4 linked regions of the Macaca fascicularis genome follow. The main gene of each other region encodes a partner of the protein of the gene in region 2 in a complex. Links are inferred from orthologs where the notes say so. Each region holds a gene or a part of one and is shown on either strand. Other genes may lie near its edges.

Region 1 (3,568 bases), on a different chromosome or scaffold from region 2:
TCACAAAATTTTGCCTGATGAAACACTTTTTAAGTTTATGAGAGAGACTCTTCATTTGGGATTTTAAATTGGAAAGGATTTTATTGGGAGGAAGGACTTTTGATACTTTTCCTGCAAAAAAAAGATAATATTTATAAGAAACAATTAATGAAACCCACACTTGAATTTGATACAGGTTTTTGGAATTTGAGCTCTATGGGCCAGTTAAATCTAAGATTTTTGTTTGGTAGTTGGTTTTTTTAAGTTAACAGTGCCACCCAGAGGTAGTAAAGTTAGTTGCTTTTTTTAAAACTGTTTTTCCCCACATATTAATTTTGGTCACATAATTTAGTTATGGCTGTCTTTGTTTTAATTAATAGGCTTATCAAGTGAGACTCTTGAATTGCTTACTATCCCAAGATAATAATTGGTAAATTACTTACCAGTTTTGGTTCTAGAGTTTTTCTTCTATAAAAAAGCATATGTAGTTTATGAAATTTATATAATAAATACATTGCTGACAATCTGTGAAAATCTCCTAAAAATGTGAAATCATATTTTGCATCCAGTAGGGTAATTATTTTATTATATAACAGTAACACCCCTTAGTATCTGCCTTATAAATGAACATTTTATTGCTTTTAAATATTGTGGTATACATGTGCATATTAAATTTTATGAAATTATAAATTGTAAAGCCATGAGCAAAGTGTCCTTTGCAAAGTTAATCTGATCAAAGTTGCCTTAAAAAATTTGGTGTCTTTTATTTGGCATTTATAAAGACACCTCAAGCCAAAGGAGTGCCCCATTTCCCCATTTCCTTTTCTTTTTTTTTCTCTTTTCTCTCTCTTTTTTTTTTTTTTTTGAGCTAGGGTCTCATGCCATTGCCTAGGCTGGAGTACAGTGGTGCCATCTCGGCTCACTGCAGCCTCAACCTCTGTGGGCTCAGGTGATCCTTCCACCTCAGCCTCCTGAGAAGCTGGGACTATAGGCACATGCCACCATGCCTGGCTAATTTTTTTGTAGATATGGGGTTTTACCAAGTTGCTCAGGCTGGTCTCAGACTTCTGGGCTCAGGTGATCTGCCCGCCTTGACCTCTCAAATTGCTAGGATTACAGGCATGAGCCACCATACCAGCCCCTATTTTCTAACATAAAATGAATATTTTGAAGTTACATTAAATGCATGAAGTATTTTATGTTATTTAAAAATAATGCAGCTGGGCTCGAAGCATTCTGTATTTAATCCTTTTAATTTTTAACACCCCCTATACCTTGTACCCAACACATCCCTAGAAGATTGTGATATGTGGTATTGATATTCTCCTTACCATGATAGAGGACTTGCATGTTTTTAACTGCTGTCCATTAGCATCTTGCTTATGTCTGAATATTGTTTTATAAACATTTCTTAGATTTAATAATCACTGGATTTTTAGTTTGTACTCATGCTTTCTGTCTTCATTTCAGTGAAGAACTTAGACGCTGGTTCATTCAACAAGAAATGGATCTCCTTCGATTTAGATTCAGCATTTTACCCAAGGATAAAATTCAGGATTTCTTAAAGGATAGCCAATTGCAGTTTGAGGCTGTAAGTATATTTTTGTAGTTATTTCTAATTGTTCTCACTGTTCATTTTTCCCTTCTGTCTTAAGTGCTGGTACTAATGTGTGGTGTATTCTCTTTACATTCTGCAAGTACCTGTCTGAAACAGTAGCTAATAGCTTTGGATAACAATATGTCTTTCCTTCTCTATGACTAGAAGAAAAGGGGCTCCTTAATAACACAGTCTCACATTTAGTTCCTCTGTTAAATATGTGCTTTATTAAAGCACAAGAAGGTTTAGTTTATAAAGGTTCACCTTTAACCAAAATTTTGTTGGCCAAAAAATTTCAAAATTAATAATGTGTTAAACTAGACAAGTGATGGTTATTTATTTATAGTTGTGAAATTTAGAGGAGGTAACACTTTATATAAAAGTCAGTTGTCAAGCGGGGCATGGTACCTCACACCTGTAATCCCAGCACTTTGGGAGTCTGCGGTGGGCAGATCACTTGAAGTCAAAAGTTCGAGACCATCCTGGCCAACATGGTGAAACCCCCACTCTACAAAAAATATAAAAGTTAGCCAGGTATGGTGCTGCGTGCCCGTAATCCCAGCTAGTCAGGAGGCTAAGGCATGAAAATTGCTTGAACCCGAGAGGTGGAGGCTGTGATGGGCTGAGATCATGCCACTGCACTCCAATCTGGGCAACAGAGCAAGACTCCATCTCAAAAAAAAAAAAAAAAAACAACAAAAACCCAAAAAACAAAAAGTCAGTTGTGAGTAAAATCTGTCTGAATAGTTTTGCAGATAAATCTGAATGATTTACGTATTGTAATTATATAAAAAAGAAGAGACCTTTGGGACTCATTTAACAGGGATAAGTATTGGAAATAGAATTTATATCTTTTTTTTTTTTTTTTTTTGAGATGGAGCCTCACTCTGTCATTCAGGTGGGAATGCAGTGGTGTGATCTCGGCTCACTGCAACCTCCACCTCCTAGGTTCAAGCGATTCTCCTGCCTCAGCCTCCTGAGTTGCTGGGACTACAGGTGTGTGCCACCATGTCCGGCTAATTTTTGTATTTTTAGAGACATGGTTTCACCATGTTGGCCAGGCTGGTCTCAAACCCCTGACCTCGGGTGATATGCCCGCCTCAGCCTCCCAAAGTGCTGGGATTACAGGTGTGAGCCTCTGTGCCTGGCCTAGAATTTATGTCTTTTAGGTAGATACATGCCACAATGGGAATGTAGAAAAATTCCGTTTTGGAAGTTTTAGAGCAGTCAGATGGTAGTAGGACTGGCTGAGACTCTGTTTTGTTGTTGGAATGCATGGCTTGAAGCCAAATAAAGTAAAAAAGTAGAAGTTGCAATAGGTGAAAGACATTGTTCTGTCTGACAAGTAGAAGACATATCCACTGTTCAAGGAACACTATGGAGTATATGAGTTAGGGAAAAGAGACTGTGAAGGGAAGTGAACAAACATTCTGTAGACGTTTAGTATTGAATATATGCTAGGGAGGCAGTTTCTATAGTTTCTTTCATTTGCTTCATGAGGTTTCTAAGTCACATCTACCTTTGCATAGACAGATGTCATGCATGGTACCATCTGAACCAAAACCATTGCATCTTCCATTTTGTTTTTAACTTTTATCCTTGGTGAAGTCCATTATTGCAATTATCAATTACAGTTAATTTATCCGTTCATATTAGAAATAGTTTATTTTTTGCTTCTGTTGAAATTACTGATTTTTAGTAGTTTATAGAGAGAAGTGTCCTTGAGAAGGTCTATTATTTATTCTAGAGCAGCTATCTCCAACCTTTTTGGCACCAGGGACTGGTTTTGTGGAAGACAATTTTTCCACGGACTGAGATAGCAGGGTGGGGAGGGATGTGGATAGTTTTGGGATGAACTGTTCCACCTCAGATCATCAGGCATTAGATTCTCATACGGAATGCACATCTTAGATCCCTCACATGTGCAGTTCATAGTAGGGTTCCCACTCCTATAAGAATCTAATGTCTCCACTAATCTGACAGGAAGTGGAG
Region 2 (3,568 bases):
TCAAAAATACCTGTTAGACATTAGTCTTTAAATAACATGCTTCGGCCGGGCGCGGTGGCTCAAGCCTGTAATCCCAGCACTTTGGGAGGCCGAGACGGGCGGATCACGAGGTCAGGAGATCGAGACCATCCTGGCTGACACTGTGAAACCCCGTCTCTACTAAAAACTACAAAAAACTAGCCGGGCGAGGTGGCGGGTGCCTGTAGTCCCAGCTACTCGGGAGGCTGAGGCAGGAGAATGGCGTGAACCCGGGAGGCGGAGCTTGCAGTGAGCTGAGATCCGGCCACTGCACTCCAGCCTGGGTGGCAGAGCGAGACTCCGTCTCAAAAAAAAAAAAAAAAAACACAACATGCTTCATGTAGGCAGAATTCAGGTGACAGCACGACCAACGCTCACTGGGCTCAGATCAGGGGTCTTGTGACAAAAAACCTACGAACTCACTGATGGTGGTACCCTCACCGCTTGGTCACATTGCTCTTCAGCAGCTTCTGCAGCTTTCTTGGGCTCGGGAAACTGCACTCCTGGACTCATGTCTACCACCCTCACTGTTTGCAAAAACAGTATTTGAACTGAAACTCACCTCCATCCTCTTCAGTGGGCTGATAAAATGGAAGTGGCACACCCTAAAAACAAGTGAAAAGCTCAAGTAAGGTCTTGCGCCAGGCATCACCTTGGTAAGGAAAGGGGAGGGCACCGGGTTGGGGGGTGATGTAGGTGTGATGGGAGGACAGTGAGGAGGAGCGAGGGCAGGGGAAGGATGTGCCTCTGTCTTGCTCCTTAGATCTGATGGGACCTGCCATTTTTCTTTTCTTTCTTTCCTTTTCTTTTTTTTTGAGATGGAGTCTCCCTCTGTCACCCAGGCTGGAGTGCAGTGGTGCCATTTTGGCTCACTGCAAGCTCTGCCTCCCGGGTTCATGCCATTCTCCTGCCTCAGCCTCCCGAGTAGCTGGGACTACAGGCACACGCCGCCACGCCTGGCTAATTTTTTATATTTTTAGTAGAGATGGGGTTTCATTGTGTTAGCCAGGATGGTCTCGATTTCCTGACCTTGTGATCCACCCACCTTGGCCTCCCAAAGTGCTGGGATTACAGGCGTGAGTTACCGCACCCGGCCAGGACCTGCCATTTTTCTATACTGCTCAGAGGGCGAAGAAACCCAGGTAATCGGAGGTCACTACTCAATTGTCATAAAACACCCAGCGACAAGTGGGAGCAAAACAGGTACCTAAAGTATCAGTGTACTTCTAGGCAAGAATGGGAGGGTGTCTTGCTACTTTTCCTGGCATTCTATGAAAATCTCTGGAGGATTGTTGCCTAGAGCAGGGATAGGTCAGCTTATGGCCTCTGGGCCAAATCTGGCTCTAGCCCACTATTTAAATAAAGTTTTATTGGAACACAGCCACAGTCATCTGTTTAAGAGTTCTCTGTGGCTGCTTTTGTAGACAAAGGCAGAGTTGAGTCATTGTGACAGAGACCATGTAGCTACAAAGTCTAAAAGAATTACTGTCTGGCCCTTTACAGAAAGAGTTTGCTGACCCCTGGCCCAGGGGTAGATTTCCACTTACAGATGGAGAACTGACTAACAAATAAATGGGCTCCTAAAAAGGACCAGTTTCTAGAACAGACAGCTTCCAGACACACTTTGCCTGAAGCAAACCAAGAGGCAAGTGGGGGTACGCTGTGTACCTCATAGAGTTTGGTGGCAACAAGTTTCCTACCAGTGGTGTTGATTCCTTCCATAATTACAACCTGAAAGACAAAAACAAACAGGATTGCTAAGCAGTGGAGATCAACGAGGTCTGGAATACATTATTTTGAGGCAGTTAAAAGCATTGTCCAGGCCGGGCGCGGTGGCTCATGCCTGTAATCCCAGCACTTTGGGAGGCCGAGGCGGGCGGATCACAAGGTCAGGAGATCGAGACCATTCTGGCTAACACGGTGAAACCCCGTCTCTACTAAAAATACAAAAAATTAGCCGGGTGCAGTGGTGGGCGCCTGTAGTCCCAGCTACTCAGGAGGCTGAGGCAGGAGAATGGCGTGAACCTGGGAGGCAGAGCTTTCAGTGAGCCGAAATTGCGCCACTGCACTCCAGCCTGGGGCACAGAGCGAGACTCCATCTCAAAAAAAAAAAAAAAAAAAAAAAGCATTGTCCAACTACTTTTAATCTGTAATCATAAACTTAGGGCATTTTTGCAGAAAACAAATTAAGGGCGTTGCATTAGTAATAATAATTATGCTCTACATACGTGATCTAATTTTCACAACAATTCTATGAGGTAAGAATTATTATTTCCATGTTGTGAGTGAAGATACTGTGGTTTAGATGGTTAAGTACCTTGCCCACAGGTATGCACCTCATGGAGTGGGGAGTTAGGATTTGAGGCTGGGCAGTTGGGTCCCAGAGCCTCGGTCAGAGCATGGGGGAAATGGAAATCCCAACAGTGGTGTCTGCTCTGGGGCATGTGCTCCACCCACACCCCATGGCAGCAGAGACAGGAACTAAGGAGCAGCTGCACATGGCACAGCACGTACTCTTCAGGAGTAAAGAGTGCACCTGCATCCTGGTGGAACTCCTCCAATCTCACCTGTCCGGGAAACAGAGAATATTCCTTAAGCTCAGATAAATCCACTGAGATTTGAGCACCCGAGGAATGTTCCCGGTCTCCCTCGAGAATCACTGACTTGTTGTTCAGTTTCCCGTTGCTATCACAGCCAATCTGGCCCAGCAGAGTGACAGGCTCCTACCAAAGGAAGGTCACAGCATAAGAACGACAGTCTTTGGAGCAGGAGCTCAAAATCTGAAGTCAATAGGATGAATAGCAAAACAAACTGCAAACAACAAATACATTTTTTGGCAGGGCATTGCTTTGACCCTGAGGTGACTACAGCATCATCACTGACTCTCAGGATGGAAGAACTCTGAAAGGGCATCTTGTCCACCCACCAACCCAGCACTTGAGCCCTCCGAGGAGGATGCCTAAGTGTGAGCATCTCTAGTGTAGGGGAACTTGCCCCTGGATGCCCACCCCACCTGGTCCTCACCATCCCAGGGCAGCACACTGCATCTTTGGACAGCTATAACTACTTAATAATAGATAACATTTCTTGAGCTTACTAAATACCATGCACTATTCTAAAATGTATTCTTAGGCATTTTATATATATTAACTCATTTAATCCTTGCAACAACCATCAGGTGGATATTATTGTACCCATTTTACAGATGAGGAAAACAAGCAACAGAGAAGTTAGATAATTTAGTCAAGGTCAAACTGTGGGTGAAGCTTGGGTTTGAGACCAGAAATTTGGCTCTAGAGCCATATCCTTAGCCACATACCATACAACCTCCTAACAGGAAGTTCTTTATTAATTGAGCTAAAATCTCTGTCCCTATGGCTTCGTCTGTTCTGTTCCCACTCTTGGGAGAAAAGAGAGGAAGTCTCATCTTTCCCAGTGATTGTGCTTCCCTGCCTTCCCTCAATTATTTCCTTCCAAGTCCTCCAACACTTCCTTCTATGACACAGTTCTGCATCACTTCCCCAACTGGTCATTCTTTGAATGTAAACAT
Region 3 (3,568 bases), on a different chromosome or scaffold from region 2:
TTCTTCCTCCTACTCCTCTGACCATCTCTCATTCATTCCTGCTAGTTCTTCCTGAGTTCTTCCTTGGACTTCTCTTTTCTGACTTTGCTCCCTCTCTAGGTGATCTCATTGAGTCTTAGGAATTTAAATACCATGTGGATGCCTATGCCTCCCACCTGTGTATCTTCAGGTTAGACCTCCCTAAATTCCAGACTCAGTGTATCTATTTTACCTATTTTACTTGATATCTAATGTGAACTCCCAGCTTGTTCAAAACTGAGCTCTGATCGATCCTAGGTTCTTCCTGTAGTCTTTCCTTACTAAATTAATAAATGTGTTTTTCCATTATCACTGGAAACTTCCAGAGTCTTACTTAGCCCAAAATCTCTGAGGCATCTTTAATTCCTCTCTCTGATATCCCACACTAGATGCATCAGGTATCCTGTCAGTTCTATATTCTAAATATATCTAAGTCTGACCACTTCTTTTCAACTCCATTGGACCCATCCTGTCTAAGCTGCTATCCTCTTTCCCCTGGATTACTGGGTTAATATGCCTATCTCCTACTTTTGCCCTTTCCCCCTTGTGGTCGATTCTCAATCCAGAACCAGAGTTATCCTGCTAAAATCAAGTCATATGTGATACTCTGCTCAGAATCTTCCAGTGACTCTGTTTCATTCAGAGTAAAAACTAAAGTCCTTATTTTTACTTACAAGGTCCTTTACAATGTGTCTCTATGTTGTTAACTCTGTCATTATCTCCTACTGCTCTTTCCATCATTCTCTCTGATCTAGCCATATTGGCCTCTTTCCTAGCCCTGGAACTGTCAGATTTGCATGCAGCTCAGGGCTTTTAAGTGTGCTATCCTGTCTGCCTGGAATGCTCTTTCCATAAGTCTTGCTCCTTCACCTCTTCCAGATCTTTATTCTCAGTGAAATCTTCCACTATTTCCTAACAAAAATTTCAGTCTCTGCTTCTGATACTTAATATTCCCATTGCTTAACTTTTAACATTATATAACATACTGTATACTTAATTTCTTTGTCTTTTTTATACTCTGTCTCCCCCATGAGGACATAAGCTCCAGGAGGAAAGGAAATTTTGTTTGTTTTGGTCACAGCCAATGCCTGGCACATAGTAAGCACGCAATATATACTCACTGGATGGAATGAATGAAAGGATTTAGATAGTTTTCAGGCTTGTAATTATTGTATTACTTCAGTTTTTCCTTAAGGGATTTTGTGTGTGTGTGTGTGTCTGTGTTTTGGAGAAAAGCATTGGGATCAATGGTATGAATGAATTCCTGGTTACATACTGACCTTATTTTAAATTGTTTCTGAAGCCAAGGTGCTGTTGCTCTGAATTTACTTATACCCAAAATTCCTTGTAATATTTTGTGAAGTTCTGATTATAGGCATTGTTTCTTTTAATTACTTGATTCTGTTTCATTCTTACTTTTCTGTACAGTGAATCTTCTCAACTGTTATACCTGTTGGAACACACCTGGAAAGATGCCAAGTTCATTTTGCAGATCATGTGTGAGCTAAATGTTCTTCCATTAGCATTGCAGATCACTAACATCGCTGGGAACATTATGGTAAATTTAACTTAGAAAGGGGGAAAAAGCATTTCCTGTTGGATTCAGTATTTGCTTGGGGTAGTTGTTATATGATAATGAGTCTAGATGCATGCTTATAAAATGAGTAACTTAGATTCCGAAAGCTGTATTTCTTTTGTAAAAGGAAGAACTGGTTGGGAGAAGGGGAGGAATGCCAGGTGCAGCGTGTTGAAATTTGGGCGAACATACGGATCATCTCTCTAACATCTGGATGTGTCTGTTTAGTGGAATGGTCCATTTGGGAGTAAATAAATAGCCAAGTTGTCAATATTTTAAGCTGTCTTTGTCTCCTTTAACTATAATGCTTAAAGAAAACGTTAGGAATAATTTAGTACCTTTTTTAAAAAACAGCCCGTTATTAGGAATAGTTTTAAAGGAGGTGCTGTGACTAAACTTACTGACTCAAAGTTGCTTTTGTTAGTTGTGGTTTTGAGCTCAAATTTAAAAAATAAATTCCATTTAATAGTCCAGGACGCTGATGGGTGGACGATCCGAGCGTAACGAGTTCTTGTTGCTTCATGCATTTTACGAAAACAACTATATTGTGCCTGACAAGCAGATTTTCAGAAAGCCTCAGCAAAAACTGGTGGGTCCAAAACTGTGTAGTATTTTGTTTTCTCTTACCCCCTCCCTTTTTAATACCTATTTACCCCCCCCCTTTTTTTAATACTTAGATAGCCTTTTTTTCTGTGATAACATCTGCTTTCAAAATAGCTAATCCCTTGTGTACTGTAGAAACCATGTCAAGTTTATTCCCTTGTTTTTGTGTGGTCATTTCCTTTTCCACTTTGTAAAAGGAAAATGCACTTTGTGCAGGCAAAATTATTTGTGAAATATGAAATTCTTTGAGGGAAGCATTAGACCTCTCTGATGGGTGACCATACACGGAATGTGTTCTGGCACCTTAGCCCTATCCAAAGATAAATGCCAGTTAAACTTTTTATTTTCTTAAACCCTATGAGCCTTTATTTTTGTGTTGCATTTTTCTGTACTAGTATGACCAAGGTCACCCACAGTCAGGTTTCTGAAGTAGCCTCCATCACTTTGGAACTAAAACTTAGTTTAGCTACTGTTTTATTAGCACTGATATTAATTAATTCAGAAATGGGAATTGAATGTTAAAATTTGATTCAGGTTCTCATATTTGCTTGTTTTTTAGTGTACATTATCAAAATTGGTATAGGGAATATTCATTTAGAGGACTTTAACTTCTGCTGAGTTATTGAATGTTGGCCAGTAATAAACTACTTAGGAATGGATTTTCAGTATATGGATGTACTTATTTTATGGTGTCCATATTAATAATAGGGATAATGATAATGTCTACATGAAGCATTTTATGTTTTTACATCATGAATATTAGAGTAGTGATTTTAAGAGGGCTGTTTTATAATCTCAAATTTTGTATAATATGAAAAGTGGTATTTTTCGATATTCATTGATTTAAAAATATGAAATTCTGTAAATTCAGAAACATAAAGATAAAATTTTTGTATTTGTTAACTCAGGATGTAGTATTTGTTTAAGAAATTACTATGCTTGGAATTCATTTGGATTCATGAACATATTACAATAACTGTCTTTCCCAACAGTTAGGACCAGTAACTGAAATGTTTGTTAGAACTAAGTCCTGCAATTGGAAAAGAGAGAATCATCAAAATTTTAAATTAGTTAATTAGTGGTGAAGCTATCTTTCCATTTGATATTAGGGAGATGAAGATGAAGAAATTGATGGAGATACCAATAAATATAAGAAAGGACGTAAGAAAGCAGCTTATGCTGGAGGCTTGGTTTTGGACCCCAAAGTTGGTAAGGCTGGGCAGTGAATTGGTTTTCTCCCAATATTAAGGAGTTTCTTAATGTGGATCTAGGCTTGAGAAACTAGAAGACCTGAATTATATCTTACAGGTCAGCAAATAGGTCTCATGACTTTTATCTTTGATTCATGTGAAAATCTTGGTTGCCAGTCAC
Region 4 (3,366 bases), on a different chromosome or scaffold from region 2:
GTATTTATATTAGAAGCCTTAGAATTATCCTTGTATAATATTAAATTTTACAAAATTATCTGCAATCCACTTATGCCTCCTTTTATTTCTCCTTCCAGGAACCTTGACACTCTCCTTTGGTGGTCTCAGGAAATCTTATTTTTTTTTGTTTTGTTTCTTTTTTGAGATGGAGTCTCGCCTGTCACCCATTGGCTGCGATCTCGGCTCACTGCAACCTCTCCCTCCTGGGTTCAAGCAATTCTCCTGCCTCGGCCTCCCGAGTAGCTAGGATTACTGTATGCACCACCACACCCGACTAATTTTTGTGGTTTTTGTAGAGATGGGGGTTTCGCCATGTTGGCCAGGCTAGTCTTGAACTACTGACCTCAGGTGATCCGCCTGCCTCAGCCTCCCAAAGTGCTGGGATTACAGGTGTGAGCCACTGCGCCCGGCCAGGAAATCTTTTCAACATAAATTATTTCTCAAGTAAAGGAAAATGTACTTTGAGGTTTAAGACACATACATAGTTCTGCTGTATTTATTAAATGGCTTTTGAAGTATTTGATCTGTTGTTGAAGGCAGAAGATATCCACATTGGTTTGAGGAGCTCTGTCTTCAGAAATCTTTTTGTAAATCTAAAATAGAATAGATAATATATGGAAGAACAGCAAAGGAAAACAAAACAAAGCCCATTTATTTTTACATTCTTTTTTGCCTAATGCTTCTATTTAACTCACATCGTGCACAAAGATTTGCTTACACATTTGCTGAAGTCCACATTATAGGCTGAGCTAATACGGAATAGTGTGGATACAAAGGACTTAATACGGCCAGTTGCAATGGCAGTTTCAACCGGGCTTTCCAAGCTTAGAGTCGTTCATTCAATAATTACACATGTAAGTGTCTACTGAGTAGAGCATTATCTTAGGCACTACTGCTTAAACTATCACATACTGAAATAAAAAATGAAGTGGCAAGATAATTGTATTGCTATAACATTGCCACAGTTTTCTAGAGTATCCTCTTGAATAATATTCAATCTGCTGGTTTTTTTCCTATTGGTTTATACATATACTCAGATGTCTCCCATTCAGAGTACTCTTCATTTGGCACTGCTATCCTCTTTGCGTTTCCTTCCAGCTATTACATGCAGCAAGATTTTATTAGTTTCCTACTGTACCTGACACTTGATAATCTTGCACTTTTCTTTTCCCTGGCTTCTATAACATTTTCCCTTCCATCTTTCATCTCTTCACTTCTAAATCATTAGCAAGTCTCAAGGATGGTTCCAGTATTTGCACCTTTTGGAGATCTTCAGTGCTAATGTTTTAGTGGCAATAGCTCAGTTGGCCTCTTGGGCTCTATTCTAGTCCCTGCCTTGCCCAGATTTATCTGTCTGGATAAAAACTACAAATCATGGCATTCCCTTCCTCAGAACCTTTAAAAGCTTCCTATTAAGCCCAAAACGAAGCCCAAACACCTAAGCTTGGAATTCAAGGCCATTCAGCTTGCTTCTTTGGATTTATAGCCCATCACTCCTGGACACACCGTTTACTAGATTAGCTGTACTACTTGATGGCTTCCAGAGTGACTGGATGCTTTCCTTTGCTCTTGCTGTTCCTTCAAGAATGAACAACCCTTGGCCTTTTTCCACCTCCATACCCTTATCTCATCAAATTTCTGCTTGTGGAAATCCTTCTCATACCTGATGGTATAGTATATTGGCATTAGGGATTAGATCTTTTTTTTTTTTTTGAGATGGAGTCTTGCTCTGTCACCCAGGCTGGAGTACAATAGTGTGATCTTGGCTCACTGCAACCTCCACCTCCCGGCTTCAAGCGATTCTCCTGCCTCAGCCTCCTAAGTAGCTGGGATTACAGGCACGCAATAACGCGCCTGGCTAATTTTTGTATTTTTAGTAGAGGCGGGGTTTCACCATGTTGGCCAGGCTGGTCTTGAATTCCTGACTTCAAGTGATCCGCCCGCTTCGGTCTCCCAAAATGCTGGGATTATAGGTGTGAGCCGCCATGTACGGCCTAGGGATTTTTTTTTTTTTTTTGAGACAGAGTTTTGCTCTTGTTGCCCAGGCTGGAGTGCAATGGCATGATCTCCGCTCACTGCAACCTCCACCTCCTGGGTTCAAGCGATTCTCCTGCCTCAGCTTCCCTAGTAGCTGGGATTATAGGTGCCCGCCACCACACCCAGCTAATTTTTTGTATTTTTAGTAGAGATGGGGTTTTACTATGTTGGCCAGGCTGGTTTTGAACTCCTGACCTCAGGCGATCCACCTGCCTCAGCATCCCAAAGTGCTGGGATTACAGGTGTGAGCCACTGCACCCGGCTAGGGATTAGAATTCTTACAGCAGCTCACTGAAAGGAGTTCAGATACCACTATTTTCATATGAAATCTCAGAGTCCGTCAGATAAAATCTCTTTCTTAGCATTTTGTACATTTTTGTTTTGTACTAAGTTAGTACTTCTTTTTTTTTTTGAGATGCAGTCTCGCTCTGTTGCCCATGCTGGAGTGCAATGGTGCGATTTCAGCTCATTGCAATCTCTGCCTCCCTGGTTCAAGCGATTCTCATGTCTCCACCTCCTGAATAGCTGGGATTACAGGTGGCTACCCCCACGCCCAGCTAATTTTTTGTATTTTTAGTAGAAAAGGGTTTCATCATGTTGGCCAGGCTGGTCTCAAACTCCTGACCTCAAGTGATCCAACTGCCTTGGTCTCCCAAAGTGCTGGGATTACAGGCGTGAGCCACCGTGCCCAGCCAAGTTAGTACTTCTTAAGGGCAAGGGGGCATGATATTAATTCATCTTTGTCTCCCTTGTAGACCTGATACTTAGAATGTGTTTAATAACTATGTGTTAAATTGAATTAAGGAACCTCAATTTCCAAAACATTAAGGATAGTAAGATAAATCAGTAAATTTTGGGAGGAGGGCAAAGAAATACTAGAACTCAAAAATTGCCCTTTTCTACTAATACTAAGATCTAACTAGATAGAAGGGAAAGGTATAGAGTCTTACCACTCTTCTTAAGAAGTTCTCCTTTTCGAGATTTATCCAGGTTTTCAAGAAAATGTTCAAAAACTTTTACATAAGGTGCTAGACTGGTCTTCTTATAATCTAAATTATGAAGAATGTACATTATAATTAGCATAGTGGCAGCAATAACATGAAAATGCAACTAAGTTTCTTTTCTTTTTTTTTTTTTTTTTGGAGATGGAGTCTCACTCTGTCCCCCAGGTTGAAGTGCAGTGGCGCGATCTCGGCTCACTGCAAGCTCCGTCTCCCCAGTTCATGCCATTCTCCTGCCTCAGCCTCCTGAGTAGCTGGGACTACAGGCGCCCGCTACCGCGCCCGGCTAATTTTTTGTATTTTTAGT

The links.
Region 1: POLA2 (region 2) and PRIM2 share a complex: the UniProt entries of both Homo sapiens proteins name them as parts of the alpha DNA polymerase complex. The link is inferred for Macaca fascicularis from reciprocal best matches to the Homo sapiens genes POLA2 and PRIM2.
Region 3: the proteins of POLA2 (region 2) and POLA1 are in contact, whole or in part, in a cryo-EM structure (PDB 8G99), measured with the Xenopus laevis proteins. The link is inferred for Macaca fascicularis from reciprocal best matches to the Homo sapiens genes POLA2 and POLA1. Residues at the interface, in XP_018112289.1 of Xenopus laevis: Met280, Tyr281, Lys282, Phe283, Met284, Phe285, Gln286, Lys287, Leu288, Met289, Ile291, Arg292, Val295, Ser296, Ile299, Glu314, Thr316, Leu320, Pro321, Gln323, Glu324, Thr325, Val326, Gln331, Gly333, Cys334, Asp335, Ser336, Asn337, Gly338; in NP_001082055.1 of Xenopus laevis: Gln548, Lys551, His553, Gln554, Asn555, Phe642, Glu645, Val646, Gln649, Asn652, Leu673, Gly675, Arg676, Phe679, Lys1137, Asp1141, Pro1143, Asp1144, Ile1321, Gln1322, His1324, Asn1325, Lys1326, Leu1328, Leu1329, Arg1332, Ile1335, Lys1336, Tyr1338, Tyr1339.
Region 4: POLA2 (region 2) and PRIM1 share a complex: the UniProt entries of both Homo sapiens proteins name them as parts of the alpha DNA polymerase complex. The link is inferred for Macaca fascicularis from reciprocal best matches to the Homo sapiens genes POLA2 and PRIM1.

Annotation. Positions count from the first base shown.
Region 1 is NC_088378.1:114,411,261-114,414,828, reverse strand, and holds part of PRIM2 (DNA primase large subunit), read left to right. Parts: intron 1-1,449; coding exon 1,450-1,570; intron 1,571-3,568. UniProt on the Homo sapiens protein: Regulatory subunit of the DNA primase complex and component of the DNA polymerase alpha complex (also known as the alpha DNA polymerase-primase complex) which play an essential role in the initiation of DNA synthesis.
Region 2 is NC_088388.1:9,091,565-9,095,132, forward strand, and holds part of POLA2 (DNA polymerase alpha subunit B), read right to left. Parts: intron 2,742-3,568; coding exon 2,586-2,741; intron 1,750-2,585; coding exon 1,687-1,749; intron 624-1,686; coding exon 581-623; intron 1-580. UniProt on the Homo sapiens protein: Accessory subunit of the DNA polymerase alpha complex (also known as the alpha DNA polymerase-primase complex) which plays an essential role in the initiation of DNA synthesis.
Region 3 is NC_088395.1:24,696,079-24,699,646, forward strand, and holds part of POLA1 (DNA polymerase alpha catalytic subunit), read left to right. Parts: intron 1-1,446; coding exon 1,447-1,576; intron 1,577-2,063; coding exon 2,064-2,183; intron 2,184-3,306; coding exon 3,307-3,406; intron 3,407-3,568. UniProt on the Homo sapiens protein: Catalytic subunit of the DNA polymerase alpha complex (also known as the alpha DNA polymerase-primase complex) which plays an essential role in the initiation of DNA synthesis.
Region 4 is NC_088385.1:63,540,140-63,543,505, forward strand, and holds the end of PRIM1 (DNA primase small subunit), read right to left. Parts: intron 3,108-3,366; coding exon 3,009-3,107; intron 615-3,008; coding exon 595-614; 3' UTR 502-594; downstream 1-501. UniProt on the Homo sapiens protein: Catalytic subunit of the DNA primase complex and component of the DNA polymerase alpha complex (also known as the alpha DNA polymerase-primase complex - primosome/replisome) which play an essential role in the initiation of DNA synthesis.